4 linked regions of the Tamandua tetradactyla genome follow. The protein of the gene in region 1 interacts with the protein of each later gene in a biochemical or structural test. Links are inferred from orthologs where the notes say so. Each region holds a gene or a part of one and is shown in the gene's direction. Other genes may lie near its edges.

Evidence for each region.
Region 2: the proteins of MAPK8 (region 1) and GSTP1 form a complex in vitro, tested with the Homo sapiens proteins (2 studies listed by BioGRID). The link is inferred for Tamandua tetradactyla from reciprocal best matches to the Homo sapiens genes MAPK8 and GSTP1.
Region 3: of the proteins of MAPK8 (region 1) and ITCH, one has a biochemical effect on the other in vitro, tested with the Homo sapiens proteins (2 studies listed by BioGRID). The link is inferred for Tamandua tetradactyla from reciprocal best matches to the Homo sapiens genes MAPK8 and ITCH.
Region 4: of the proteins of MAPK8 (region 1) and STAT3, one has a biochemical effect on the other in vitro, tested with the Homo sapiens proteins (2 studies listed by BioGRID). The link is inferred for Tamandua tetradactyla from reciprocal best matches to the Homo sapiens genes MAPK8 and STAT3.

The regions. Positions count from the first base shown.
Region 1 is NC_135339.1:7,464,694-7,472,235, reverse strand, and holds the start of MAPK8 (mitogen-activated protein kinase 8), read left to right. Parts: upstream 1-4,534; 5' UTR 4,535-4,698; intron 4,699-7,542. UniProt on the Homo sapiens protein: Serine/threonine-protein kinase involved in various processes such as cell proliferation, differentiation, migration, transformation and programmed cell death.
Region 2 is NC_135335.1:6,798,772-6,806,206, reverse strand, and holds GSTP1 (glutathione S-transferase P), read left to right. Parts: upstream 1-4,423; 5' UTR 4,424-4,528; coding exon 4,529-4,529; intron 4,530-4,706; coding exon 4,707-4,742; intron 4,743-4,995; coding exon 4,996-5,102; intron 5,103-5,206; coding exon 5,207-5,294; intron 5,295-5,689; coding exon 5,690-5,793; intron 5,794-6,798; coding exon 6,799-6,906; intron 6,907-7,092; coding exon 7,093-7,281; 3' UTR 7,282-7,354; downstream 7,355-7,435. UniProt on the Homo sapiens protein: Conjugation of reduced glutathione to a wide number of exogenous and endogenous hydrophobic electrophiles. Involved in the formation of glutathione conjugates of both prostaglandin A2 (PGA2) and prostaglandin J2 (PGJ2).
Region 3 is NC_135327.1:18,487,553-18,494,798, reverse strand, and holds the start of ITCH (E3 ubiquitin-protein ligase Itchy homolog), read left to right. Parts: upstream 1-4,237; 5' UTR 4,238-4,359; exon of another isoform or gene 4,360-4,411; intron 4,412-7,246. UniProt on the Homo sapiens protein: Acts as an Acts as an E3 ubiquitin-protein ligase which accepts ubiquitin from an E2 ubiquitin-conjugating enzyme in the form of a thioester and then directly transfers the ubiquitin to targeted substrates.
Region 4 is NC_135332.1:24,834,859-24,842,338, forward strand, and holds the start of STAT3 (signal transducer and activator of transcription 3), read left to right. Parts: upstream 1-4,461; 5' UTR 4,462-4,677; intron 4,678-4,793; exon of another isoform or gene 4,794-4,945; intron 4,946-7,480. UniProt on the Homo sapiens protein: Signal transducer and transcription activator that mediates cellular responses to interleukins, KITLG/SCF, LEP and other growth factors. Once activated, recruits coactivators, such as NCOA1 or MED1, to the promoter region of the target gene.

The DNA.
Region 1 (7,542 bases):
AGCAGCATCAACAATGCTTGGAGGGCACTTGCAATATCCCCCTCTGGGTTTCTGATGCTGTAGGTCCGGGTGGGTCTGCGAATTTGCATCTTCAACAAGGTCCCAGGTGTTGATGGCATTGCAGGTCTGAAGACCACTCTGACAACTGTCCTAGAGGACCAAACGTTGATGGTTTTGTCAAGAGAACTTATGTAACTCAACCTACAGGTTTAGCTAGTTGACTGTCACTCTCTCTTGCTCACATGTGAAGTAACTTGTGCCTATGGGGGTGAGAGAAAGGGAAGAAGGGGGCCAGGCAAAGAGGGGGTGCCACCTGTCACGTCGAATCAGACCACCATGACCTTTTTTTTTTTTTTTGCATGGGCAGGCACTGGGAATCAAACCCGGGTCTCTGGCACGGCAGGCAGGAAACACTGCCACTGAGCCCCCGTGACCGGCCCCATGACTTTCTCCTCCACCTTGTTTCACCCGGGTTGTGGCAGAGGAGCTCCCGTCATTTTCGTCTGTCTTATCCCTGAGTACACCCATCTGCCACAGTTCTGGCCAGTGGAGAGAACAATCTGCAATCAGAATGATCATCTTTTGATTAGGCTGCCAGGGGCTGTCCACCCCCATCAGAAACCAGCCATGCCTGCCTTGAAAGAGCGTTGCAGAGCCTCGCAGAGGGGTCAAAGCTGAAAGACCCAGGGGGTGACTGACCGAGGTACAGAATCTCTTCCTCCAGTGGGGGGAGAAGGGGCCAGGACTGGGTTGAGGGTGGGAAAGCAGGCAGGAAGCGGGACAGCCAGAAAAAGCTAAAGGAGAATGGGGCTGGGGGCTGGGGGTAGGATCTGGAGAGGGGATGCATCCTCTGGGGTGTCCTTCTGAAGTCAGTAAGTCCCTCCGCCCTCCAGCCCTGGAGGCAGGTCAGGGAGGGAGCACGTGAGAGAAAGCCTCAATTTCGGTCTTCTGTCGCCTGAACTGCTCGGGGAGATAACCCTGACAGCTTAGCCAAAAGGACCAGCTGCATTATAATCCAGGTAGTCTGGGAAGACTGGCCATCCCTCAGGAGCTTCAGCAGAGGCTGGGTGTAAGGACCCCACAGTCTCCCCTTCTCTCCTCCCTCTATCCCAGCCTCAGGGAGATCTGAGGATGAGCTGTGGCCAAGACAACTCCCCTGGCATAAGAGGCAATAGGCCTGAATTCCTTAACTCATCCTGTTTTGTAGAGCCAGCCCCCAATCGGTTCACAAGGAACCCTAATAAGTTAACAAGGACAAGTGCCATGAGAAAGAAGAGGGAGGCCCTGGTCCACATCTGGGTTATATAAAGCATTTTGAATTTGCAGAGATTATATTCAAAGACAAGTAGCAAAGGGCTTTCTGAAGTCACACACACACACACACACACACACACATACACGAACACACAAACATGTGGGAGGTGCTTTCTAGGCATAGACTATTGGAAGCTGACAGTGGGAGGCTGCTGCTAAATCCAAAGCTCTCCCTGTTGAGAGGAGCAGAGGCTAAGAGCTTTACAGAACTGGGCACGGAACTCGGAACTTCTGTTCTGATTCAACCGCTCGGGGGTCAAATTGCCTTTTGCTAGGCCCAGGTCTTCAACTTGTCTGGTGATGTACCTGCCAATACCTCCATCCTTGCACCCAGTCACATCCCCTCCTGCCCTCCTGGGGGCCCCAGGCTGATGCTTACCCCTTCTCTTGCTTGTCATTCAGATTCCCCCCGCTCAACAGCATGTTCCCGTCGGATTTAAAAATATGCCATCTCCCCTTCCCTTCACTGCTGAGCTCATCCGTACCCACAGTCTCCATTTTCTCACCTCCCACTCATCTCTCAACCCCCTCGAATCCAGTTCTGGCCCCATTCCTCCAGATTTCCAAGGCTCCTCTTACATTTGGTATTTGATATTATGGATCGCGTCTTTCTTCTTTAGCTCCCCTCTCTCCAAGTTTCCCTTCTAGCTCCCTGGCAGCTCCACCTCTTCTCTTCTTGCTCACTTGTCCTCTTTCTTCCAGCTCACGCATCCATACCCATGGCTTTGTGTGGTGGCTATCTGTGGACAACTCATCTCTTACCTAGCTGAGCCCAGGCTCTGGATATCGAAATGCCAACTAGGCCTCTCTCCTTTGGGCATCTCAAAGGCCTCAAATGAAACCGGGTTTCTATCCAAACCCGGTAGTAGTGTGTCCCCTGCCCCCACGCCACCCCCAGAAGGTATGCTGACATCCTAAACTCCGGTGCCTCCGAATATGACTTTATTTGGAAATAGGATAGTTACAGATGAAATTGGGCAAGTTAAAAGAAGGTCATACTGAAGCAGGGTAGGCCTTAATCCAATATTATTGATGTCTTTATAGGAAGGGGAAAGGAGACAGACAAATAGAGGGGAGAAGGTCCTGTAATAAGTGAGGCAGAGATAGAATTTTGCCATAGCCAAGGACCCTCCCCCCCTCCCTCCCACCCTCCCCAAAATTTGCTGGCTGCCACCAGAAATCTAGAGAAAGGCATGGAAAAGGTTCTTCCCTGTAGACTTTGGAGGGAGCGTGGCCCTGCTGAGACCTTGATTTCAGACTTCCAGCCTCCAGAACCGGCAGAGAATAAATTTCTGCTGTTTCAAGCCACCCAGATTGTAGTGCTTCGTGATGGTGACTCCAAGAAACTAAAACACAAGCTTCCCTACCTCAGTGAACCAGCCCTAATGCACAAACTTTGTCATAAGCCAGAAAACTGTGACTTGTCCTTGATGACTCTCTCTCCTTCCCTGCCTCATCTAATCCATCACCACGTCCTGGGCATTAAATATCCTAAATGGTACTTGGATCCGTCACCTTTCACTATCTTAGCAGCCCATAGCCCTAGTCTAAGCCTCCATCCTCTGCTATCTAGACGACTCCTACATACACCTGGCCTCCTTCCAATAAAGGATCTTTTAAAGAAGCCACCCACTGCTGAAGCACACCAGGGCTTAGACGAGGTGTCGACGTGGCCAGTATGACTGTACTTGGTATGGCGCTTTACCAAATATGGCTTTGCCCCATAGCCCCATCTTCCTTCTCTCTGTGTTCCAGCAACACGGGCCTTTCCTCAGTTTCCCCAATTCACCCAGCTACCTGACCTCACTGGGCTTTTGCACACCAAGTTGCCTCTGTCTGAAATCTGTGCCTCATTAATTGTATTCTCCACTTGGTTGGCAGTTCCTCAGGGAAACCTCTCCTGGCCTTGTTAATTTTATTAATTGGTTTCATAATACTATGCTTCCATATCAATTTGTATATAATATGGTGATAACTTTGCATTTACTGTTATTATTTCCACATTACAGCGATTAAATTTTCCAGCGTTAGTGCAGTGTCTGGCACAGTGTGGGCATGCAATAAATATTTATTGGAGAAATGAAGGACAGAAGGGAGTAAAGAAGGCTAAGAGGGAGGGAGAGCCCCAGGAGAGAATGAAGGAAGGAAGGAATGGTTACACTCATGTTTCCCTTCAGAATCACTGGGCACAGCTCAGCCCAACACGTTATGGGAAAGTAGTCTAGCTGCATCCACTCATTTACTCAACAAATATTTACGTATTCAGTAGTAAAGTAGCTCATTTATTTCTTGGAAACCATGGAAAACACCTAATGTATAAAGGAGAAACAAACCACCTTTCATTCCATATCCAATGATGAACTGCTTCTAAAATATTTTTGAATATTTCTCTTCCAGTTTTTTTTCCTATGCATATAGTTCATAAGGGGGATCATTTTATGTATATGTATGCACACACACGCACGCTTGTATCTTCTTTCTCTTAATGTTACATTGTGAACATTTTCCCATAGCTGTAAGAATTCCTTGCACACGTGGGTTTTAAATGGCTAAAATGTATTCATTTCATTGCATGGACGTACTTAAATACCTTTCCACCTACTGTCTATTGTCGGATATTTAAGGGCTTGTCTAGCACTTCCAGTGACCATTTGCAAAATATTTACCGTGCTTTTTAGGGCCTCAGAGATAAACAGGTAAGGTACGGATTCTGGGAGGAAGTGGATTTGGGGAAAACAGGAGGAGGCTCTTTCCGGGAGCCTGAAGAAAACAGTTATTTGCTTGAGGGTTGCAGGTCCCGGGTAGGTGCCCTCGGAGTGGAACGTGCGATGTGTCTAAGTGAGGAGCTCTTTGCCTCTCAGATGTGCAGCAGGCGGGAGGTGACCTCTGAGGGGCGGGTCGGGCCAAGGCTCCTAACCTCCTAGTCCAGGGCGGAGGAACTGCCCGCAGGCGGGGGCCCAAGCCACGCGCCGCCACGTGCCCGGCACAGACCCCGCCCCTCCCGCGCCCGCCACGCCCCTCAGCCGCTTGGCACGCGGGGCCCCTGGCCCCCCCAGCTCCGCCCCCAGGCGACCTCCGCATAGCCTCCTTCCTCCCGGCATAGCCCCGCCCCCTGCTGCCGGCCCCGCCTCCGCAATCCGGGCCTTGGGGCCGCGTCCACCCCGCGGGCCGCTCCGTAGGCGCGGGAGGCGGAGTCTGCGCGATGACGTAGACGGGCGTGCGCCGTGACGGCCCGCGTCCCTGTTACTCAGCGGAGCGGCGGAGACCGGACGACGCGGCCCGGGGTGCGGAGCCGCGAGCAGTGCTGGGTAACGGCCGTGGCAGCGTCTGGACGCGAGGGTGCCCGCCGGCTGACTTCCTCCCCTTCGTTCTCTCCGCTGCCGGGTGAGTGCCGCGCGCGCCGCAGGGCCCGGGCGACGGGGCGGCCCCGCCGTGTTTATGTTATTGTGCCGCCGCCGTCGCCGCCTTCGCCTCAGCAGTGACCCCCTCCCGGGAGTGGGGGCGGGAGCGCGCGGGGTGGGGGTGGGCCGGCGCGGGAACAATAGCTGCCCGGCAAGCGGGGGCCGCGCGGGGCTGCGGGCCACCTGGAGCCGGTCCCGGTGGGTCGAGCCGAGCTGCGCCGCCCGCCGTCCCTCTCGCGCGTGTCCCGCTTCCACGTCGGGAGGTTGCCGAGGGGCGGGGGCAAGTTCAGGAACGCCCGGGGGGAGGTCGAAACCGAGGCGTCCCCGCTGCCTCCCGGGTTCCGAGGCCCACGGGGACCGTGCTCTGTTCCTCGGTGGTTTCTTTGTGCTCACGTTTGCAGGCGAGCGCGGACAGCCTCGTCGGAAAGGGCCAGTGTGGCCTCCAGCCCGGGGCCTGTAGCTTGGGCGGGAGGTGGCTTCATTGAGCTGGGCTGGATCTTCCTCTTGAGGGTCAGTCCGTGGTGACCTTTTGACTTTTTCACCCCATCCTCCCGTGTCTTTGTCCTGCACTCACGTCCTCAATCCATACAACCAAGTGCGTTTTAAAGTACTAGGAGAAACACTTTTTCATTTTAATTTCCAAGAGTCTCCTGTTAGGTCTTCACTGTAAATGTAATGACATGTTGACTGCCTCGTATCAGACATTGTCCAGGGCTTACTATTTTTACCTCTCAAACTCAGTGATCTTTCGAGTAGAATTGTAGTGTCAGTCCATTGTGTTTTAAAATAAGCATCCAGCAAGTACCTCCTTGGCAATTAGAACATCTGTTTATTTCACTCATTCATTCAACAGCTGTTCTGTACACAGGTGGAGAGACTGAAAGGTAAAGAGAAATGTCCTTTAATAGAAGAGTGTGCTTTGATAGAAATATAATATGAATACCTTTAAATTACACAATTATGTAAGTCATGTGTTACGTACCTGATGTGTGTAAAAGAAGGTAAGGAGTCCTACTGTAGTTTATTTTCGTGTTTTTGAAATAGTTCGTCTGGAACTGTGAAAGTAATGATATTCTAGGAGCTAGTGCTACATTTGGTCTACAGGTATTTCTAAATTTTACTTTTTCTGCTCTTGTAAAGCCTCTTTTGTAGTGATTACCTCAGAATCTCCTGCTGTCATTTAAGCCTAGAAAGTCATGATGTAATGAACAAGTTCAGTGCAGTACCTCACAAATGCAAGCAATCAAAATGGGACTTCCTTGAGGGTAGGCCTGTCTTGCATTTGGGTTTCCAGCACCTAGCCTGTAAAGTAAGTGCTCAAAAAGGCAGGTTGATGAAAAGCTTCTTATAATTGATGAAATTAAAAGCAAGCCTTAAAAACAGTTTTGATGTTCCCCATAAAGTTCTGGAAGCGTCATGCAAACCGTCATTTCCAGATGGCTAAAGGATCAGTTCCTCTGTATCTGTCATGACAGTTGGGTCTTTTGAATCACCTCAGTATCAGTTTTTTACTATCACTTTTGGGTCATTCACTATCCTAAAACTTTCTCTAAAATGTTTTTTAATGAGGTAAGGTAAGTTGTAAGGTTAGTGTGTGTATATGCCTGTGATATTTTAGTAATAACCTACGATTGCAACGCATCCCTTTGTTAATATTTTTGAAAAGGCTTTTGGTGACTCCTTTATTTTAAGTGGAAAAGCTAGAACAAAGAAACAAGTCGCAGAAATGTATTAGAAATGTTTAATTTCAAATAGAATTTTAGAGAGGTTTATGAGAAATGTTTTTAAACTCTCATATTAACACTGATGAAACGTGGGCTTAAGATCAAAATAGTATTTTATCCAAGTTATATCTCTTTCCCACTATTTGATAAATTTTAGGATTTGTTTTGGATATGAAAGAATTTGAGGTGGGCTTATTTTTTATTTGATGTAGAATAGAATTGAATAAATTAGAAAATGATACTCTATTAAGATAAAAGTTATACCAGATATTTATTATTTTACCTAGATAAAATATGTCCGTTTGCGATAAGGGTTACTGATAAAAATCATCACAGTCAGGTTACATGAGAACCAAGATTTTTGTTTTGTTCTAAATTCTACGTTATATTTAGATAGCTTTGTTGTGATGCAATTCACGTATCATAAAGTTTACTCTACATGTGCAATTTAGTGGTTTTTAGTATGTTTACAAAGATGTGTGTAGACCCTCACTGTCTAATTCCAGAGCATTTTCATTACCCCAAGAAGAAAACCCATAACCATTAACTAAACTCCCTCTTCACTCTTCTCTGAGTCCTATTTTAGAGGAAGAGACAGCAGTGATTCTGTAGATAGGTATTTTGCATTGAGGAATTTGAAAGGAGCATCCTGGTGCAGTAGGAAGATTATGTCCTCATATGTCTCTATATTGTGGGGGAAAATGTCATTTGGGCAGAAATTAATGTCAGAATAAATTCTCCTTAAATTAATGAAGTTAATTAATAAGAATCTTAATTACTTACTCAGTGCCTAATATTTTGGTAATGACCTTGTGAGGATGCTGGATGCTTAGTGAAACATCTTGAAGTAATTTGTTGTCAAATGACTAGTCACAGATTATCCTAGTAGTAATTAAGAGGTTACCGAATAGAAGCCTGATTTTTAATAGTCTGCTTTGCCATTGAGTTGAGTTTTGACATATTTGAGTCATCTAGATAGTTGGGATGTTTTGTTGCAAATGTAGAAGTATAAAATAATATCTGGCTATCAAGATATTAGGTCTCTAGAGGTTTCTGGACAAGCCAGGGATATGAATGGCTGCCTTTCTGATTCATATAGTGCG
Region 2 (7,435 bases), on another chromosome or scaffold:
AATATTGTTGAGATTTGGAGCAGTAATAAAAGACTTTAAAAAAAAGTTTCAAAAACTCAAACCATAAGTTCCTACCCCACCCTGAACAAAAATTAAAAGCTAATGAGTTTGATTTCACTAAAATTAAGGCGTTCTGTTCAAGGAAAGGGGACTTGACTTGGACAAAGTTAAGGGAGTTGGCAGGATAGTAGATGGAATCTGCATGTCTAAAGCTAATGATGAAGAGGAAGGAGGCAACAAACTCAACAGAAAAAGACAATGTTTCAATTTGCTAAAGCTGCCTGAACGCAAATACCAAAAGGTTTGACTTTTACAAAGGGGATTTATTAGGTTACAAGTTACAATTCTAAGGCTCTGAAAATGTCCAAATTAAAACATCACAAGACAATACCTTCTCTGAGGAAAGGCTGCTGGCATCTGGGACACCTCTGTCACCTGGGAAGGCACACAGCAGGCATCTGCTGGTGCTTTGCTCTGAGATCTGATTTGCTTTTAGCTTCTGGTTCCAGTGCTCCCTGGGTGTTTCTCTCTCTCAGCTTTTCTGTCTTTTATCCCCTCATAAAGGACTCCAGTAAAGAATTAAGACCTACCTTCAATGGGCTGGGTCACAGCTCAATTGAAACAACCTAATCAAAAGGGCTCACCCACAATAGGCCTGCACCCACAAGAATGGATTAAAAGACCCTGGCTTTAAGGGTCACCCCCAGGAGAACCTCTTCTGTTGCTCAGATGTGGCCTCTCTCTCCAGCCAACACAACAAGCAAACTCACCGTCCTCCCCCTGTCTACGTGGGACATGACTCCCAGGGGTGTGGACCTCTCTGGCAATGTGGGACAGAAATCCTAGAATGAGCTGAGACTCAGCATCAAGGGATTGAGAAAACCTCAACCAAAAGGGGGAAGAGTGAAATGAGACAAAGTGTCAATGGCTGAGAGATTCCAAACAGAGTCGACAGGTTATCCTGGAGGTTATTCTTACGCATTAAATAAATATCACCTTGTTAGCCAAGATGTAGTGGAGAGGCTGGAGGGAACTGCCTGAAAATGTAGAGCTGTGTTCCAGTAGCCATGTTTCTTGAAGATGATTGTATAATGATAGAGCTTTCACAATGTGACTGTGTGACTGTGAAAACCTTGTGTCTGATGCTCCCTTTATCTACCTTATCAACAGATGAGTAAAACATATGGAATAAAGATGAATAATAGGGGGAACAAATGTTAAAATAAATTTAGAGTGAAATGCTGGTGATCGGTGAGCGGGAAGGGTGGGGGGTATGGTATGTATGAATTTTTTTCTGTTTTCTTTTTATTTCTTTTTCTGAATAGATGCAAATGTTCCAAGAAATGATCATGATGATGAATATGCAACTATGTGATGATATTGTGAATTACTGATTATATATGTAGAACGGAATGATCAAAAGTTAAGAATGTTTGCATTTGTTTGGTGTTTTTTGGTATTTGAAAAAAATGAAAAATTCATAAAAAAATAAAAAATAAATAAAATAAAATAAATTTAGAGTGAAAAAAAAAGACCCTGGCCTTTTGCTGGAGGTGGGGGGGGGGGGGATGGAGGGGTACATAACAGCTCCAAACTACCACAGATAAGAACAGGCTATTTCTAGAGAAGGAAAATAAAATCCAGGTAATACCTGAAAAGATGCTCAAAACTGTCACACCACTTTCCATCTATTGGGCAGGCAGGCTTTGGGAGGCTGCTAAGTCCCTTGTTGGATGTGGTTTCTGGTCAGCTGGGGCAGGTGGGGGTAGGGCCCGCTGGCAGGGCCATTCTGGAAGCAGCTGACTTTACTCATGCAAATCAAGTGTTCACATACCTGGGAGGCCGCAGCTCTGCTTCTGGGCCTGTGTCCAGAACTTCCTTGCCCGCAGGCTCTTAAGGGGACAGGCTCACGGATATACAGTCCATTAGGGTGGGAGGCGCTGGGAGGGACGGAGCGGAAGATGGGAAGGGCATGGGAGACGGGAGAGAGGACAAAGGGGACACACAAACAAGTACATACCAATAAGAGAGGACCCTGTAGCCACCCCCACCCCCTCCTTCCTCCCTGTTCCCCTCAAAGTCCAGCGCACACAGGAGGAGGCCAGGACTGGCCTGGTGGAAGAGAGAAGGACGGGACAAATGTCAATGAGCCATGGAAGTAATTTATGGTTCCTTTCTGCCACATTTTCTCCTGCAGAACAGGATTTCTCATACACTCCGGTGCAAAGGGGGAGGTGGAGGTAGGCTAATTTTTACTCCCCAGGGTCGGAGTGGTGAGAACGGAATAGAGGTGTGGGACTGGCACCGGGCCTGAGGCGTGGTAGCCTGAGTGTCTGTGACCATGAGAGTCTGTGTCAAAGTGTGAACGGGTTGTGTGAGTCCGTATGATTGTGTGTGCGCGTGCGGGTGTCTGTTTTATCTTTGAAAAGGTGCGGGAGGGTGCCGTGCTATAGGAGAAAATGCAGCAGAAAGAGAACGGCTCAATCTGTTTTGACATGAAAGTACGACTGTTTCCTTGCTTTATTTTTCTTTGCCTTTTTTTGCAGCGCATTGATAATCAGGGATGAAAGGCACCGGGAGGGCAGGTTCCAACTGCTTTTAGCACAAGCCAAAGGAGCAAATGAAGCTCTTCTGGAAGAAAAGGAAGAGAACAGAAGTTGTGCACTGGCAGGACCTGAGGGAATACGTGTGGCAAAGTCAGAGACACTCAAGAGAGCCAGGTCCCCTGGAGCTGGAATCCATTGCATGCTCTAGGGCCCAGGGCAACTTGGCCCAGCCCCTGGGAGGGCTGGACTACACCTGCCTGTCCCCAACAGCACCTGTCTCTGCAGCTGCCACCTCTGGCTGAGTCAGCCCTAGTGGGTGCCACCCCACCATGCCATGCCCGGCCCCCCACCAGGTGGCAGAGGTGGGGAGCAGCGCCCGTGCTGCCTTTTGGGGTGCTTTGAGCCAGGTCGGGTCGCTGGACCTATTGTGTCGGCCTCCCCCAACCCCGTCTCCCCAGGCCTGCCCTTCACCAAGGACACCCATCACCAACTTCAGGGGGCAACAAGAAAATGACAGTCTCACTGTCCACATATTTAATTACCTGATATATTGGCGGTGTGTGTGTGTGTGTGTTTCAGGCTTCTTCCTGCCCCTAAAGAATCACTGCTCTGGGACTGTGCAAAAAAAGAAAGAATGTGCTGCCCCTGCAGGAAAGCAGCCTTTCCACAGCCACCAAGTCCAGAAGCTTCCACCTAGATGTGTCTGGAGAACTTGCCCCAGGCCCTGCCCGGGCGGAGGCCACACCCACCTGCCAGGGGACCCCCTGCAGCCTTGGCCTTCTCCACCAGCTCCTCCCAGGCGTCTTTAGGAACTGTTGCTAAGGCCTGTTCCCTCTCCTCTCCATCATGGCGTGGGGGACAGGGCATGGGGGGATCCCAAAGGACAGGGTGTGACCTGGGGCAAAGCGGCACCCTTCAACCCTGGGACACCAGGAAACACCTCTCGGTTTGGTGCTGTTGCATCAGAAATGCCTCTCCAACCCTTGCTAACACGCTTTAAAAAATAGAGGGCAGAGCGGTGCAACAGTGGCTCAGTGGCAGATTCCCCCCTGCCACAGCCCAGACACGGGTCCAATTTCCCGGGCCTGCCCATGCCAACATAAATAAATAAATAAACAAAATAGAGGGCAGTTCTTAGTGCACCGACCAACCAGATTTAAAAACTGATTTTGTTCTGGTTGTTATTTTTACAGCTACCTTCATGTGTGAAACGAAGCTCCCCTTTAAAATAAGCTTCTGTGAGTGGAAAAAGTGTGGCAATTTAGAGAAAGATGAGAAGTAAATAGCACCAGGGGTATGTGGCCCCTGGAACAATCTGGAAGGTGACATACAAATGGTTGCTGTTGATTAAAAAAATACAACTTCCAGTAAGAGTTTAGGCGCATGTGTGTCTGTGTACAGGGCGGGTGGGTGGGGGCCTCTGGGCAGCGCCCATCGGAGTCTCTGGGAACAAGGCACAGGTGCAAGGTTTTGGGCGCAAGAGCTGTGCACCCCAAGCGGAAAAAGGGGCTGCACCCGGCGAGAGCCAAAGCTATGTGAGGTCCGGGTGTCCAGCACCCAGCACCAAGCCCCAACGCGAGTCCCGCGCACCCCTCCATGGGTGCTTAGCAAACCCTCGCGGGGAGAAGGTCGGGCGCGGCAGCGCGGGGAGAGGTGGTTGCGCCGGTGCGACGGTGGGGGCGGCCGGGGTGCCGTCTGCGAGGCCCGGGCGTCCGGGGTGCCCCTGGCGGAGCATCCGGGGTGCCTCTGGAGGGGCGAACGTGCGGAGTCGGGGCGTGCGCGGTGGCCCCGGCGGGACGAGCGTGCGCGTGCCCTGCCCAAAGCCTGCGCCCCGGCGGCTCAAGCAGGCTTCGCGCGGCGCGGTGACTCCGCCCTGGGGGCGGGCCTAGGGGCGGGCCACCCCAATTAGGCTCGGGGACCGCGGGGCCTGAGGCCCGAGTTCCGCCGCCGCCGCCGCCGCCGCACGAGCTCGCGTCTGCACCAGTGAGTCACCGCGCGGCGCGGGACCTCCGGGGTCCGGGTCCCTCAGCGTCAGGCCGGGTCCCGGGGCCCCTCCCGCGCCGGGCCGGGACCCCCTAGGGGCCCAGGGAAGCAGGCGGGTGTCCTTCCCCCCCCCCCACTTCTTTCCAAGCTCTAACGCAGTCTCTCTGTCCGTCCTAGTGCCACCCTATACCATTGTCTACTTCCCGGTTCAAGGTAGGGGCCTGTGCCTGGAGGGAGGGTGGCAGGGGGTGGGGCTGCAGTCTGGGACCCCTCACCCACCATGGGGAGTCTGGAACCCCAGCTTTTCCCTCCTGCTTGTGAACAAGTCCAGGCCGCCTTCCCCAGTCCCTGTGTGCAGGCTCCCTAAGGCCAGAGCAGCAGCCTTAGCCCTGCATGCACTCTGCGGTGACCATCCTGTCCCCACCCCATTCTCATTCCCCATCTCCGCCCCATGCCCCCACCCCAGGGCGCTGCGAGGCCATGCGCATGCTGCTGGCAGACCAGGGCCAGAGCTGGAAGGAAGAAGTGGTGACCAAGGAGACCTGGCTGCAGGGTGACCTCAAGGCCTCCTGTGTGAGTGCCCGCACCTGGGGTGGGGGAGAGGACTGGGCTCTGGGTGGGTGGGTGGGGAGGGGTGGCTGAGCTCAGCGCCCCTCACCGAGCTGTGCCACCCCCAGCTGTACGGGCAGCTCCCCAAGTTCCAGGACGGAGACCTCACCCTGTACCAGTCCAATGCCATCCTGCGGCACCTGGGCCGTTCGCTCGGTGAGTCCTGTGGCGGCGGGGACCCAGCTCAGGGCAGGGGGGCAGGGACACAAGGGCCAGAGTTCCCCCAGCACCCACTCAGGCCCAGCAGCCTGAGCTACTTCCAGCTGAAATCAAGGTGCCCAGCCCCTGTGGAGTGCATGCCACCCACTCTCTGCAGTTGAGGGAAGGGGGTCACAACTTGCCCAAGGTCAAGGCCAGCTCTGCTTGCCACCCTTACTCAGTGCCAGTCCCACTGGCGCAAGCTGTGCATCAGGCTCAACCTCAGCCGTCGTTTGTCCACGTTCTCCTGCTGTCCTCCCAGGCCCTGGGCTGTCAGTGGTCCAGCTGGGGGTGGGGGGGTCCCTTGTGGGCCAGGTGCCCAGACGTGCTGCCCACCTTCCCCCACCGCCCAGGGCTCTATGGGAAGGACCAGCGGGAGGCCGCCCTGGTGGACGTGGCGAACGACGGCGTGGAGGACCTCCGCTGTAAATACGTCCGCCTCATCTACACCAACTACGTGAGCAGGCTGGGGGTGGGCCCCGCGGGGCGACGCCAGGGCTCCCTGGACCCTCAGTCCCTCGGCCCATGTCCCTGGGCTCAGTTCCCAGGGATGGGACACAGACAAGGAATGGGTAGTACAGAATGGTACACGGACGGGCACATCCAGCGACAGGTGGCTGCTGAGCTTTTATGGGGCGGAGGTGGGGAGGGCTGCCTGCCACTTTCAGATGCATTGAAGTGTGCAAAAATGCAGAGCACATTTTGAGACCTGAGGCCAGTTTAGTAGAGACCTAGAGTGTGTGTGTGTGTGTGTGCATGCACATGTGTGAATGTGTACATGTGTGCAAGTGTTATACATGTGTGTGCTGTGAAGGTGTATTTGTGAGTGCATGAGTGTGGCTGTGTGCGTGTGTGCAGTATGTGCGTGTGGGCATTGTGAAGGTGTGTGCACAAGTGCAAGTGTCTGTGTGTGGACATGTGGACATGTGATTGGGAGTGCGTGTGTGAATGTATGCACATACAAATGTGCGTGAGCATGTGTGGGTGAGTGTGCATGCATGTGTGGAAGTGTGCATATATGAAAGTGTTTGCATGTGAGCACGTGTAGGTGAGTGTGTGTGCTCGTGTGTGTCTGGGTGGAGTTGTTCCAGGAGCTGGAGCTGGGGGCCAGCAGGCCCAGGTCACAAGGGCCTTGAGCCAGCGGGTGGAACCTGCTGCTGAGGACAGTGGGGGACCCCTGAGGATCTAAGCAGGGCAGTGTCCAAACGTGAGGTCTGAAACGACCCTTTGGGGGACCCCAAGACTTTTGCTATAATCTGGTGAGATGTCATAGCAGGAGTGGAAAGGCAGCCTGAAGAGGAGAAGAATTTGCAGCCTAAATGTTTGGGATTTGGAAATGGCCTGGGAGTCGGAGCCCAGACCTCCCGGTGCCGTCCTCCGAGATGGGGCCCACAGAGGGGGTGTTGGAGGGGCAGAGCCAGGACTGGGAGGAGGAGGCTGCACGGTGGCATCTTTTTGGCAGGAGGCGGGCAAGGAGGACTATGTGCGGGAGCTGCCCGGGCACCTGAAGCCTTTCGAGACCCTGCTGGCCCAGAACCGGGGTGGCCAGGCCTTCATCGTGGGCGACCAGGTGAGCGCTCGACCCAGCCCCCCCCCAGCCCGTTCTCCGCCCATTTCCCCGAAAGGGTAAACTGAGGCCCACAGCGGGGCCAGGGCTTGTTCAGCGGAGCAGAGGCCGAGCCAGCGCTCCAGCTCTGGGCACCCCCTGCTCTGTGCCGACGGCTGAGCCCCCCACCCCCACCCCCCTGCCCTGCAGATCTCCTTCGCTGACTACAACCTCCTGGAACTCCTGCAGATCCACCAGGTGCTAGCCCCCGGCTGCCTGGATGGCTTCCCCCTGCTCTCAGCCTACGTGGCCCGCCTGAGCGCGCGGCCCAAGCTCAAGGCTTTCCTGGCCTCCCCCGAGCATGCGAACCGCCCCATCAATGGCAACAGGAAGCAGTGAGGGCGGCGGGGCCCTCCGGGGAAACAGGCCTGCCTCCCTGGCCCCCCGAATCAATAAACTTTCTAAGAGAGAAGCTGTGCTGTGAGCATTGAGTTTCCTGGGAAGCGGGGGCTCTGGGGACCCTCACCAGCCAGCCTAGGGGTGGGGGTGGGCG
Region 3 (7,246 bases), on another chromosome or scaffold:
GAGACCAGGAGAAAACTATTTCCTAGGGGAGAGGGGACATTGGGAATTTTGTAAATGAGAGCATTCTTAGGCCACACATGCATACCCAAGACAAGACAGGCAGGATCAGCATGCATAGAAAAGATCAGGGTGACCCCTATACCTTGGTCTGGAGATATTCTCTGAACTCTTTGAATGGATAAGGCCTGAAGGAGAGCACTTGCACAGTTAAAGTTAACACATGATCCTGGATGGGGTGTAGCAGTGGAGGAGAGGAGACCCAAAAGGATATTTGTTGGGACATATGAAAAAATAGGGATATAGACTGTGAGATTTATATCAGTGTTAAATTTCTTGAGCTTGATAACTGCACTTAGGGTGAATACTAAGTGAATATCTCTGTCCTTAAGAAATGTACATGACAGTATTGAGTGTTTAAGGAGCATGATATATATACAACCTACACTGAAGTGTTCAGAAAATGGATTGATCAACAGACAGACAAATGGATAGATAGATGAATTGATAGACTGATTGATAGTTAGAATAATACGGCCAATGTGACAGCATGTTAAAATTGGTGGATCTGGGTATCTGGGTGGGGAGGGTATGTTGGAATTCTTTGTATGGAGTTTGTATTATTTTTGTAACTGTCTTGTAAGTTTGAAATTATTTCAAAATGAAAAGTTAAAAAAAATAAGAATAAAAAAAGCAGAGCTGCTCCAGGGAATAGAAGGACAGCAGCATGAGTAAGTGTTCTGTAGGGAAAGCCACTAAGTGACAGGTGGTATGTGGGCTGCTGGGGTTTCTGTCCCCACTCCTTCTGGCTCTGTATCCCTGGTACTTTCCCTTCCCATTGCCTGAGAAGACTGGAAAGCTCCTTGCCTACATGTTGGCATGCTTCTACAAGCCTACCCCTGTGCTGGCGTGTCGGGGCTCTGTCCTTTGCTGGCAGGGTGTCCAAGGCAGAAAGAGGGAAAAGTTACCTGGAGGCTTTATCAGCCACTAGCCCTATATTCTGACCAGGACAAAACTGAGCTGTTTTTTTTCTTTATCTCAGAACCTGGAAGCTAAAGATACATTGCATGGGAGATGAGGCATTTAGGCTGGGATCCTTGTCTTCACCAACTCAGCTCCTCCTTAGAGAGCTACCAACTCCTTACCCTTGATCTCATAGAATCTTCACAACATCCTAGCAGGTAGGATCTATTCTTATTTTAGAAATCTGGACACTGGGGTTCAGGTGACTTAACTAAAAGCCCACAGCAAGTTGTTGACACAGGCAGCACTAGATTCTTGATCCATGTGACTCCAAAGCCCAAATTTTTAACTCTTGCTGGTTTAGGTACTACCTACCAGGTCATAACTAATTTGTCCTGTTGGGGTTAGCAAGGTTAGTACAGCATAGTCTAGTATGGCTCTCAAAGTGTGATCCTGGGTATCAGTATGACCTGAGAACTTGTTAGAAAGGTGAATTCTCTGGGCTGGCCCCAGACTTCCTGACTCAGAAATTCTGGGGTGACACACCCTGCATTCTGAGTTTTAACATTCCCTTCAGGTGATTCTAATGCACCCTAAAGTTTGAGGTTCTTTGGCATGTAGTCGAAAGAGATATATTTTTAGAATAATATGAGTGTAAATATCAAACATATATTTGTTTTTAGTAAACTTATATTGACATATAATATAAATGCAAAAAAATGCACAAATTGTAAGTATCCTCTAAAATGAATTTTCACAAAGCTGACACACCTGAGAACCAGCACTCAGACACAGAACATTATTATCGATACTAGAAGCCCCTTTGTGCCTCTATCCAGGTGAGGCAGGACAGAATAGGGCATTGAGGCTGTGGTCCCTAGTTTTGTACCCAGTGCCAAAGGAGTTAATGCACAACTGCAAACTCCCTAGAACAAGAATTTCCTCCAAAGCTCAGAAATCCCCCAAAACCATAAAGCTTATTAAATCACAGGTCCAAAATGGACTCTTAGTTAATAACAGAAAGTCTGAGGTCATAAAGATTGTTAAACAGTGTGCTCAAAATGAACTTTTAGTAGGAGGTCACAAGCACCAATAGTTATCTCCTCCTGAAACATGGAAGACAACTGGCACTCAAAGGTCAAAATGGAAAATTGCTGCTAGCAAAACCTCCCTATGAAACCATGCCACCCGGAGCATGCCTCTTCCTTGAGCACATCTGCACAAATTTCTCTAGCGTGTACTAACTTTTCAGTAAATTTCAATGCTTACTGTTACTTGCTTTCTCATCCTTGAATTATTTCTCTCATCCTTGAATTCTTTCTTGGGGCAAGACACCGAGCCTGGAATGGAGCTCAGCTCTGGTGTTGGCAAAGCTCTGGTTACACAGGTGCTACCTCCCCTCAAAGGGCAACCACTATTCTGACTTCTAATGCCATATATTAGTTTTTTGTTGGGTTTTTTTTTGGCTTTTTTAAAGGGGAATTTAGTAAGTTGCAAGTTTACAGTCCTAAGGCTGTGAAAAAGTCTAAATTAAAGCAAGTCTATAAAAATGTCCAAATGAAGGTATCAACAAGAGGTTACCGTCACTCAACAAAGGCTGATGAATTTCAGGGTCAAATGGAAAGGCACATGGCGAACATGGCGACATCTGCTAACTTTCTCTTCAGGCTTCTTGTTTGATAAAACTCCCTCAGTTTTCCTTCTTCATCCTCCAAAGGTCTCTGGCTGCCTGGGCTCTCTTGGTTCTTGTGCTCTCCTATGGCTTGCTAGCTCTCTCCAAAATGCTTCCTCTTTTAAAGGATTCCAGTAAACTATCATATATTAGTTTTGCCTAACATTTATAAAATTTTTAAAAATTGTAGAAAACAAAATCTGGAGCTAGAGGACTTGGTTGGATCCCTAGTTTCTGGCTGAGTGATTTTGGATTATCATTTAATTTCCTTGGGACTCTGTTTCCTTCTCTGAAGAATGACCATACAAGTAACTCATATCTTAAAGAGTCACTATATTTCTCAAACTTGTTTGGTGACAAGTATCATCTGGGGCACTAGTCAGGAAATGTGGCTTCCCCTAGAGTATACAAAAATTGTTTGGAAAAAGGAGAGGACAGGGGAAAAAAAATCTTACTTTTTAATGTATAGAGCACAGGTCCACAAACAGTAATAAACATATATGGTATATCTGTGGTATTAAAATTTCAGGGGAGCCAGTAGGCAAAAAAGTTTAAAAAGGCTCCTTAGGGGGATGGTAACGAAAAAAGGTTGAGAACACTGCCTTAGTGCAGTGGTTCTCAAAGTATGGGTCCTGGTTAAAAATACAGATTCTCCGGTCCCACTTCAGACCAACTGAATCAGAAACTTTGAGAGTGGGGCCCAGCCTTCTATATTTTAGCAAATCCTCCAGTGATTCCCATGCACAGCAAACTTTTGAGAATCAGTATCGTAGAGAATGTGACTGAATTAGGCGGCCAGGAAGTAATATTTTTCTCTAGCTCTGCTGAAACTATTGTGAGAAACTCTGACACGGTGGATTTGAAGTTCTCTGAAAAATGTTTAAGTGGCTTTTTCGATGGTTAAATATTATTTTCATTAGGTGCAAACAGGCTAAACAATAGTAGCAAAAGTCACTAATTACTGACCATTTAGTCCCTACTTCCCAGGTCTTACTGGCACAGCTTGTGTCAACGACAACCCCTGAAGGAAGGCTAAGAGGATGGGCTCCGAAGTCAGATCGCCTAAATTCTTATCTCGCTTGTGACCTGGTTTATGCAGCCGTAAAATGGAGACAGTAACAATTCTTCCCTCATAGGTTTGTATTGAGGATTAAAGGAGTTTAGTGATGAGTACTCTAGAATACCTGTGGCCATTTAACTGTAAGCTACTATCATCATCCCTTAGATCATCCTGTTAAGAGGTGGAGAAAGGGGGATTTTAACCCAATCAGTATAACTCCACAGCAAAGGACTAAGTTGCAGTCCAACGATTCTCAAAGTGTGATCTCCTACCTACTGGTAGCATCACCGGAGAACTTGCTCGAAATGCAAATTATCAGACCCCACTCTAGACCTACTGAATCAGAAACTCTAGGGATGGAGCCCAGCAATCTATGGTTTAACAAACCCTTCAGGTGATTATGATGCACAAATAGAGTTTGGGAACCAGAGCCCTCCCACCTGCGGGGACGGAACTCGGCTTTAGGGCGCATACTAGCCCCCGCCCGCACTTCAGGGCCGGAGGCGGACGAGTGAGCAAGGCCTGCTGGGGCTTGTAGTCCGGACAGCTCCCGAGCTGAGGCGCCTGCGCGTTGGCTGCCAACTCGTTCTAGTCGCTGTAGTTGGGGCTCGGGACCGGCTGCCATCTTAGTCGAGCGACTGAGGAGTCGCCGCCGCCCCGAGTCCCGGTAAACACCCGCGGGCGGACCGGGGGCGGTTCCAGGGAGAGGGGAGAACCGGGTGAGAGTGTCCGGGAAGATCGAGAGGTAGAGGGGTGCGGCGCGCGAGCCGTGACCCCAGAGTCGCGGCTGCTCCTTCTTCCCTTAGAGTCAGTGCCCGTGGGGGGCGCGGGGAACTCGGGTTAGTGACCCGAGGCTGGGGGTGGGGTGGAGGGGGCGGTCGACTGGTCGGGCCGGGCGGCCAGTGCGAGGCTAAGGCACCTGGAGCCCCTCTCCTCGCGGGCGCCAAGTTGTGAGGGAGCTGGGCAGCAGTGGGTTCGGGCAGGGTCCGGCACCGCGCTCCTCTGCCCCGCCCGGGGGCCACTCGCGGGTGACCCGGCCTACACGCGGACCCGGGCGGCTGTGAGCGACGTGGCCTCTGTGAGGGGCGGTTTCTGGACCCACCTACTCCCTGGCTGGCTTGCCCAAGACTTTTTGTAGCCCCCAGTCGCGAGGGGGCCCAGCACAGCGGCTCTCTTCCCTCCCTTCCTGTATTCTCCTCCTCCTTCCATTGTCCCCCCGCGTGGTGGTCCTGGCCCGGGCGCCCTCGCCCGCACCCGCCACCGCTGGGACCCCGGCCCGCGCCTTTCTGCGCCAAGTTTGCAGACGTGAAGCTGTCACCGTTCTCCCTCCGTAGTGTGCCCTTTTCTGTAGCAGAGTAAAGAAAAAAGTAGCCGTGAACGATGTCTAAGTGTTTGAAACATGTTGACATGAATTTAAATGGGGGATTCAAGTTTTCAGACTTAGTTTGGCCCGCGACGTGGAGACACACAGGGTCTGTGTACCGATGTAGACTTTGGGCCTAAAGTTAGTCATCTCTCTGACCAGGTGAACTTGCAAACTCCCCGGAATTCACTGTTCTCCAGTGACAGTTTATCTTGTTCTCTTGGTTATATTCGTTTCTTAATCTTGTTACATTTTCTGTCGTTATTCTACAGCTGCAGTATAGTTTTTGGGGGAGGGGTTGGGGAAGGAATGGTAGGATTTTTCTTTGAAAATTTGTGAAGCACTATAGTTGCACTAAATCTATCTCTAATATAATTCCATCTTAATAAAGTATATAAAGGCAAATTTATTTCCACTCTCAAAATTGGCCAGGGACTTGTTTCACAGCTGAAATAAAGTTCTCATGGCAGATGTAGTGAGAACCTGCACTGTGTAATCACACGTTTTCTCAAGGTACAGTTATTTCATTTTTGAGATCTAGAAATGAAGGTGGAAATTCAGCCTTCTTGAATAGCGAATGCAAACTTTTTGAGTTTCACCTTCACTATATAAAGGAAATCAACCAGAATATAGTATGAAATAAAAAGCAAGTGTAGAATACTTTTTCAGCATGTTCTAGAATGAGTCATTTTTCTACATTCTTTTTCAAAACACATCTTTACACCTTTTGGAAGATTTCAGAAGAAGCCAGTGGTCTCTAAATTTAACCATTAGAATAACTAGGGTTGCTTTTTAAATATAGAAATTCCAGGGTCTTACCTCCTGAAATTAATTTAGTAGGTCTCTGTTGGTCCCCAAGGCATGTTTTTAAAACATGGCTTTGTAATTCTGATGGTCTTGGGAATCACTAATATAAACAATACCATGGACACATAGCCCAAAAAGTTCTGAGAAAGGTCAAGAGGAAGTGGCCAGTTACACCTGGGGGTTGGTCAGAGAAGGAGCAGTACCTGTCCCTGGACCTGAAGTTGGGTCTAAAGTGTTAAATAGGAATGTGACAAATGGGGAAAGAGAAAAAAACATTAATCCTATCTGTAAATGCAGAGGCCAGAAAGGTGAAACAAGGCAAGTATATGAAAAGTTCTAAGCATAATGCTAAAAATTTGAATTTTTAATAGATACAGATTTTTAGGCAGGGAAGTGATATGAATATGTGTGTTTTAGAAAGGTTCTGGTGATAAGAGTGAAAGAATGAAGAGGGGCTATTGGAGAAGTTCAGATGAGAGGTGACAAAGCCTGACCTTGGAGAGAGGCTTTGGGGATGATTGAGGGATTGAATTTGGTTCTTCACTGGTACAGTAGTATTTCTACTTTAATTGTGGATTGGGACTTTTTAGGGTCAGTTTGGGTAAAGGACTCTTTTCTGTCAAGAGTCCATTAGTAAATCAGAGTAATATTGTTGGCTTGTGTATGTTAATGGTATCAGAGTGAGTTGTTCATTAGCATCTTTGAGAATTAGAAAAGGTCAGGTGTAATTTGGAGGAGGATTTGGACTGAAATTTATGAGTATTAACACTATTGATCGAAGCTTCATTGAATGTAATTGTTTTTCTTCCATTCTACAGAAACTTGGTGTTGGAATTTTAGAGTTGGGAGAGATTACAGAGATCATCTAGTCCACATTTGCAAATATATTTTGGTTTATGGGTCAACCCTCACTGGAAGTAGCTGCAGAAGGACTGTTGCAGTTCTGGTCATGAGTGTTCTGGGAAAGTGTGTTATGATTGGACGCACTTACCTAGTAGATAGGTTTTTTGCCTATTGTAGCCTCTTAGTTTTTGCTTTGCTTAAAAAAAAAAGGAAGAAGAAGACTAAAGAGGTTAAATAATTTTCCTAAAACTAGTTAAGAGTCAGCTAGACCTAGAACCCAAGTTTTGTAACCCTAGTTGGTAGTCTTAAAATATACCAAGATGAATGTATACTACTAAGGAGCTTTTGGTATTAGAGAAAAACAAAAACAAAAGTATTTCTGGCCTGTTCCTCTTGACTGTTTAGGCAAAATTTTTACAAGGAACTTTGGCTTAAAAGTGAGTTTTGCTTGTATTCATTCTGGCCCAAGAGATTTGTGTTTGGCTGAAGGAATAAATTACCTGTTTTCTTCCCTTCCTTTCTTTTTCCTCTCAATTTTGAA
Region 4 (7,480 bases), on another chromosome or scaffold:
TGGTGGGGTTCTCAGGGTAAGTGTCTCAAGAGCAAAGGTCAGATCAAAACTGTACCACCTTCTATGACCTAGCTTCAGAAGGCAGGCAGCATCTCTTCCACTGCAATTTATTTGTTAGAAGTGAGTCACCAGGGGAGGGGAATTAGATTCTACCTATTGGCGGGAGAAGTGTCAAATAATTTGTAGACATGTTTTAAAATCACCATAAACTCAGTGGGCTTCTACATTCTGCCTTAGTTCCCTTGGTGAGTGGAGGGGTGTGTATCTCCACCTTTTTTCCTCCTTTAGTCCCTTCCTTGGGGCTCGTAGAGGATCATGAGGTCTAGAGATAAAGTCCAGGAAGAACAGCTATTCAGGCTCTTGAATGAGGCATATTTGGATTTGAATCCTGTTTCTGCCACTTACCATATCTATGTTCTTGTGTAAATCACTTGAATTTGGGTAAGCCTCGTTTTTACTTGTCCATAAAATTATAGTATCTTATAGTTACTGTAAGGACAAAAGGATTAAATAAATTAATACACGTGTCACATGAGTAAATACAAGCTGAGAGCAGTGGCTAGTACCTGGTTAACATTCTGTAAGTGGTAGCTATTGCTGATATGATTATTCAACACATATTTATTAATATGTAATTAATTCAGAATTGGGCGAGCTTTGAGCTGGCTGCTAGGAGCTGGGCTTATGAAAAGGAACATTATACAGCTTAGCTGTATAATATTAGCATATATATTATAGGAACTATATTAGCATAGTTCCTGGAACATACTAATTACTCCGAAATGTTAATTATTAATTTTGTTTACCAGGAAGTAGGTTGATAAATGGATACATTACAGTCCAAGAAGATAAATGGCTTGCTAGATGTGGCAATAACCCGCTGAGGAAGTCCAGCAGAACAAGATTTTAAATTTTCAAGGAAGAATCTAAGAAAGCCCAGAGGAGGTAATGTTGGAATGGGGCCTTGAAGGGTAAGAGTTCTTCGGGAAGGAAACAAGGATGGGGAGGTCTTTCAGGAAGAGGGAATAATACCTGCAAAGGCGTGGAGTTGTAGAAAGTGCTGACATGTTTGGAGGAAGGTAGTAAGCCCAGCGTGGGGGCATAGGGTACGTGGGATAGAGGAGAAGAGACTGGAAAATGGGGGTTAGGCCATACTCAAATGGCTACTACTTAAAAAAAGGAAAATAACAAGCGCTGGCAAGGATGTGGAGAAATAGGAACACTTGTGCATTATGGGTGGGAGTGTGAAATGGTGTTACTGCTGTAGAAAACAGTTTGGCAGTTCTTAAAAAGTTCAACATAAACACCAGGAATTGCTGGCAACCACCAAAAGCGAGGAGAGAGGCATGGAACTGATTTTCTCTCAGAGCCTCCATAAAGAACCAATCTTGCTGACACCTTGATTTTGGCCTTCTGGCCTTCTGAACTGCGAGAGAATAAATTTCTGTTGTCTAAAGCCAAAAAGAAAAAAAAAAGTTAAACAGAGAATGACCACATGACCCAACAATCCCTCTTCTAAGTACGTACCCAAAATAATGGAAAACAAGGAATCAGACAGAGATCTGTTCACTAAGGTTCATAGAAGCTTTATGTACAATAGTCAAAAAGATGGAAGCAACCCAACTGTCCATCCACAGATGGAGGGAGAAACAAAATGTGATATATACATATTACAATGGAGTATTATTCAGCCATAAAAAAGAAATGAGGTGCTGGTACATGCAACAACATGGAGGAACCTTGAAGACATCATGTTGAGTGGTATCCAGACACAAAAGGACAAATATTTTAGGGTCTCCTTTAAATGAAATAATTAGAATATGCAAATTCATAGAGAGAGAAACTAGATTACAGTGTACCGGGGTGGAGGTGGGGGTGAAGAATGAATGTTAATGTTTAATGGGTATGGAGTTTCCGTCTGCGGTGATGGACAAGTTTTAGTATGGGACGGTGGTGATGGTAGCGCAACATTGTGATTTAACACTACTGACATATATCTGAATGTGTGGTTAAAAGAGAAAATGTTATTTTGTATATATATTACCACCACCACAACTTTTTTTTAATGATTTGCCTAATCAAATTAAAAACAGGGGAGGGGACTAGGCGAGACTTTTTAGGATTTTGTGAGTCAAACTAAGAAAGGGAAAGAAGAACAATTGAATTCCTACCATATACCCAGCTCTGTTAGATGCTCAGTATTTCTCATTTTGGTGGGATTTTATCCTATAGGTAATAGGAAACAGATTTTTCAGCAGGTCATAACACAACTGGATATTTATTTATTTATTTATTTATTAGGATAATGTCCTTCATCATCCACCTCAGCCAGGCGAAGGACAAGGTTGGAGTGAGGAGAGAATATTCCGGGGGGCCACAGCACTGTCCCAAGTGACAGAAACCATCTGCTTTAACCAAGGGTGCTTCTGAGTAGGTATGGAGAAAGGCCAGCGGCAGGACTGGAGAGAGGTTTTGTAGGTCAGGTGGATAGTCTGCTCAGGGGCAGATTTTGTGTGTGAGGTGGGGCTGGTGAGGGAAACAAAGCCCTTAGGGAGAAAGGCAGGTTTTGAGTGGCTGGAGCAAAGCTAAGCTATTCAGAGTCCAAAAATGTGGCTGTAAACCCACTGGTTTACTTCTGAGTATCAATCACTGGGATCTTGAGGATGTCAGCTATCTTGGCCTTAGTTTCCTATCAGTGAATAATATGACCTCTCTTATTTGTCAAACATGATTGTTGTGAGAAAGAAAATAGATAACGGGTGTGAAAGGGCTTTGTTAGCAGTAAACCACTAAACAAAGGCACTATGTTATTAGAGAGGGAGTCAACTGCATGGAACAGCAAAGCTAAAGCAGAAGTTAGCTGAGGTAGAAGGTGGGAGATGTCTGTCCTGGTCTGGAGATAAGATAAACAGAGCAATCAACACAAATGCACACACACACACTCACACCATACAGATAAGTACAGAAATTTCTTTACTGGATTGGGTGTACAGGAGAGCAGTGGGAGACTCTCAATCCTGTCACTAATGACCCTATCAGTTGTCCTACAGATGCTTTCACCTGCTATTTGGATATGTCTGAATCTAGAGTATTCTGAGGGGCTTCAGGTAGCCAGGGAACCATGTGAATTTGTGAGTAAAAGCTCTTGCTGTATTTTTCTGGAGTTAGAATCCAGATGCCACTCCGACTCTCTGAAGGGTCTGTGACTCCTACCCCTCAAAGGTTAAGACTCATTCATTTTCTCATCAGAAATTAATGAGAACAGTCATCCTGGGGTAACTGGTGAGGGAAAGGGGAGGAATAAATTTTCATTTTTCACTTTCGACCTTTCTGAATTTTCTAACCAAGAACCTGTATTAGTTTCATTTGAAAACCTATTATTAGGGGTTATCTGGGTGTTAGGATGACTTTTTAGATATCGTCTTTACACCTGTTTGCATTAAACAAACAGAAATACCAATAACTTATTTTTTAAAAGCCCTGATAGTATCAGCCAAATAAAACAAAGAAATCACTCCCTTATGCAAAGTTCATCCTACATCACGTAAAGCAAAATATCTACACTTCCTATTGACTACTGGCTTCAATTCAGTAAAACCTGCATATAAAGTAGATGAGGTGAAGGGAAAAAGCTGGCAAGTTAAGGTATTTCAACTCAGATGCCCCAAAATGTCAAATACTGTGTCAAATACGTGTCAACCTTCATATATATTATCTTCAGCATTCTCGTGTACCCGCCAACGGGCGAGCTGTTGGTGTTTGATTCTTGAAGCGATGGAACGGAGGACAGGGTTAAATTCACTACTGTCTCCCCACGCACTCTAACAATTACTCTATTTCCATGTCATGTTTCCGGGTGTGTGTGTCCCGACTTACACAGAACTTGAGTTCAAAACAGGCAGGAGATACCCATGTTCTTTTTGCTGTCGCCAGAAATCCAATTCAGGAATTGGGAGCCCTGAGGATCTGGCTATACGTGGGGACTGTCTAACTGGCTGATTCCCACATGGTAAAAGGTTCCCAACCTCCTCCCACGTGGCGCCACGGGCCAGGAAAAGAGCGAGCCGGCAGGCGAGAGCCGCATCAGGGGCATTTAAAGTGTCTTGACGTCACACACTGCCAGGAACTCAGCTGAGTTTTCAGCAGGACATTCCGGTCATCTTCCCTCCCTCCCTGCCGGTTTCTGGGCCGAAGGCCTCAGCTCTTCCCGGGCCGTTGCGGAGGGAGGAGCACGACGCCTTCCGGAACAGCCAACGCAGGGGCGTCCCCAGTCCTCTTTTGCCACCGCCCTTCCCCCCAGCGGCTGTTCTCATTGGTCAGTGGGTGTGGCTTCGCGTGCACAGGGCAAGCCGCGGGGCCTCCTGTGGCCCAGAAAGCTGGCCATCTCTTGAATTATGCATAAAGGCGTGTCTAGGCCAGGCTGGGGCTGGGCGGGATTGGCTGGAGGGGCTGTAATTCATCCGTTTCCGGAGCTGCGGCGCAGACCCGGGAGGGGGAGCTTGGGGTTCCGACGTCTCAGTGGAGGCCCTGAACCCGAACCGGATCTTTGACCAGCACCCCCACTCGGCGCGCTCTCTCCGCCGGTGCTAACTGAGGCGCTGCGGCTTGAGGGAGCCCCGTGCCCGCACGCCGGCCCAAGCGCAGCCCTTGCCTGTGGGGCCTCTACCGGGGAGACAGGTGAAGGGGGTGAAGGGTGGGGCAGCCTCTCCGGACGGCCCCCAGGCCTGACGCACCGTGGCGGGCGCCAGAGAGGGTGGAAGCCGCTGGGAGGGTCTTTCAGGGAGGGGGGTGTGAATGGAAACTTCAGTGGGGCGGGGAGATACGAGGGCGCGCTCGATCATTCTGAAGGGACACCTCCCAGGGCCGACAGGAGCGGGCCTCTGAAGGCAGAAGGGGCGCTGGAAGGAAGTTTCGTTCCAAGAGAAAGGGGAGAAGCCGCGGAAAAGTGAGAATGAGTTCGAGGGGTGGACCATGGGGGCGAGGGCCCCCTGGGACGGGGGTGGCAGGCGTGAGGGACAGCTCTCCGACTTCCTGCTCCCTGGGGCTCTGGAGACGTGCGGGCCTCAGGAGCGACTGTCAGGCGGGCGAGATCACTGTAGGGGGGCGCGTGGGAAGAGCCTCCTCCCGCGCGCCGCGGGCAGGGATCCGGCGGCTCCCGGCAGAGCCATTTCTCAGCCTGGCCGGGTTCCTGCTCCTTTAGGAGCCAGCTCTGCTTCTCTGGGGGGAGAAATAGGTGTCTTAATCCTAAAGCCCCACGGGCTGGTTGGTTGTGGGTAGGATTGTTGCATAAGAATCAAGTTTCCTGTAGGGAAATTGACAGACTTGTGCTTTCTAAATTTCCTCACATCTTGTTGTAGTTCAAGGCTTGCTTTCCCCATCCCCCACTCCTTTTCTAAAAACAAAACAAACTAAAGCCCCAGTCAAGCCAGCTCTAGAGAAGAATAAATCTCTTTCCTCCTTGACATTGTTCTTTTATGAATACCTGATAAACACGGTCAGAAGATAAATAATTGAGCCATTTCACTTACTGGATTGTGGTGTTGCTTAATTGCATAGGACAGAATGAACCAATCGAGAGTGGGAGTTTTCTGTCCCAGAGCCAAGATCTTGGGTAAATGCAGAAGAGAGGGAAACAAAGACAGGCTGGCTGGCCTTGGCAAAGTCATGTGTGCAAACTTTACCTGCGTTTGGGGTTGTGCTTCAGTTAGCAAAATTATATCATTCAAGTTGCTTTTTCCTTGCTTAGTATACAGCACTCATATCAAGTGGGTGTCTATATGTCGACACGATCAGTGGTTAGTTGCTTTATTTATTAAAAAATGTATATGGTGTGTGCCTGCTGATCTTTATTGTGTGTGTGTCAATGGTACACTTACTATGTGCCTAGTTTGTAACTTTTTGGCTGGCTGCACTAATAAGCATTGATTTGAATAAATCAAAATAGTAACTTATCTTGATCTTGTATATGTGGGTTTAGATTGCATTAGGACTCGATTCAGCCATATTTCTATTTTTTTTTGTTAAATATGTCTGTGTTCCTTGAGTCAACACGTTTATTTCCTTATTACATGTGCCAGACTGGAGTACTAGCAGAATTTTTGTTCAGACATTTGCACAGTGAGGTGGGGGAAAGAAGTCTGGAATAACGAAGAAAAAATTGCTTTAAATGTCAGAGGGTTAATCTTAGTCTCTATATTTGTTAGCAGACCCACCTCAAAGAACTGTTAGCAAAGTCAGGGATCTTTTGTTTTTAAATATAGTTCTTTTGGGAAGAAGAACCTGTTAGAAATACCCACAGTTATGACTTGACCTACAAAGGGCTTGTGAGGTAGGTAGTTTATATTAATATTTACCCATTTTGGAAATAAGGAAATTGAGGCCAAAGGAAGAAGACACTTGCTCCAAGGGAGCAGAGTGCCATAGTGGTGAAAGTACTATTGCCTGTACATTTTGTGTTCTTACACAGGTAAGTAATGCTTACTTATAAAGCCTTGATTTAGAGAGAGTGTAGGCCTTGCTTGGGAAAAGTGCCAGTGAAATTTTGACATATATCTGAACAGTGAAATACCTCTAGCAGGCTATATGACTTAACGGAAGACAGAGATTGATTCATGAACAGGTGAAAAAAGAAGTACTTAATAGGACTTGCTTAGGTTATTTTTCTGTCTAACTGCTATGTTTAAATTTAGTAGGGATAATTTACGTAAGAATTTCGCTATTTGGCTAATGAAAAGAGGTATTTACTTAGGAAAGTTTGTAAATGAAGGACAATCATGACCTAAATGCCACCTAAACCAGAGTGCTTTGTGTCTTGAGCATTAGTATCTGGTGTCTCCAGGAAGGTATTCTCTTTTTGTTTCCTCCTCAGCCCTTCACATTCAGATGTGAAGATGGGTTAGCGATGGTGACCATCCTTCCAGACATCTCAGCTCATGGTTTCCTAAGAGGTGGTGTACAAATAAGTAAAAAAAAAATTTACTGTTTGTAACTTTGTGAAAGTTGCTGGTGAAGAATAAAATGTATCTTGTTCACAGAACTTTCAGTCTGCTAGGAAAACTTTATAAATGGTTTAACCATCCAGGGTAACGTGTCATAAAAGAAGTGCTAGCAATAATATACCCATTATATATAAGAGAACATTTAGTACAGATGTAGAACATTTCTGTTATCCAGATAGTTCTGCTGGACAGTACTTGACTAAGAGCTATAGGTCTTGAGAAGACAAGTTATGAGTGCTGGAATTGTCAAGGAACTCTTCTTGGTAAAAGGGGTGATAGGAATTGGGTCCCATATAATGGGTGGAATTTTGATGGGTGTAAAGAATTTGGGGTGTGGTGGTATGGGAATATAGCATGAACAAAATCTTGGTAGGTCAGGAATATAAGTAGGGGAGGAAAAGGGCCTATTTATAAAAGTTCTTGAATGCAAGATCAAGGAATGTCGATTCTGTCCTTTTGTGGGGAGATGTGTTAAAGGTTTT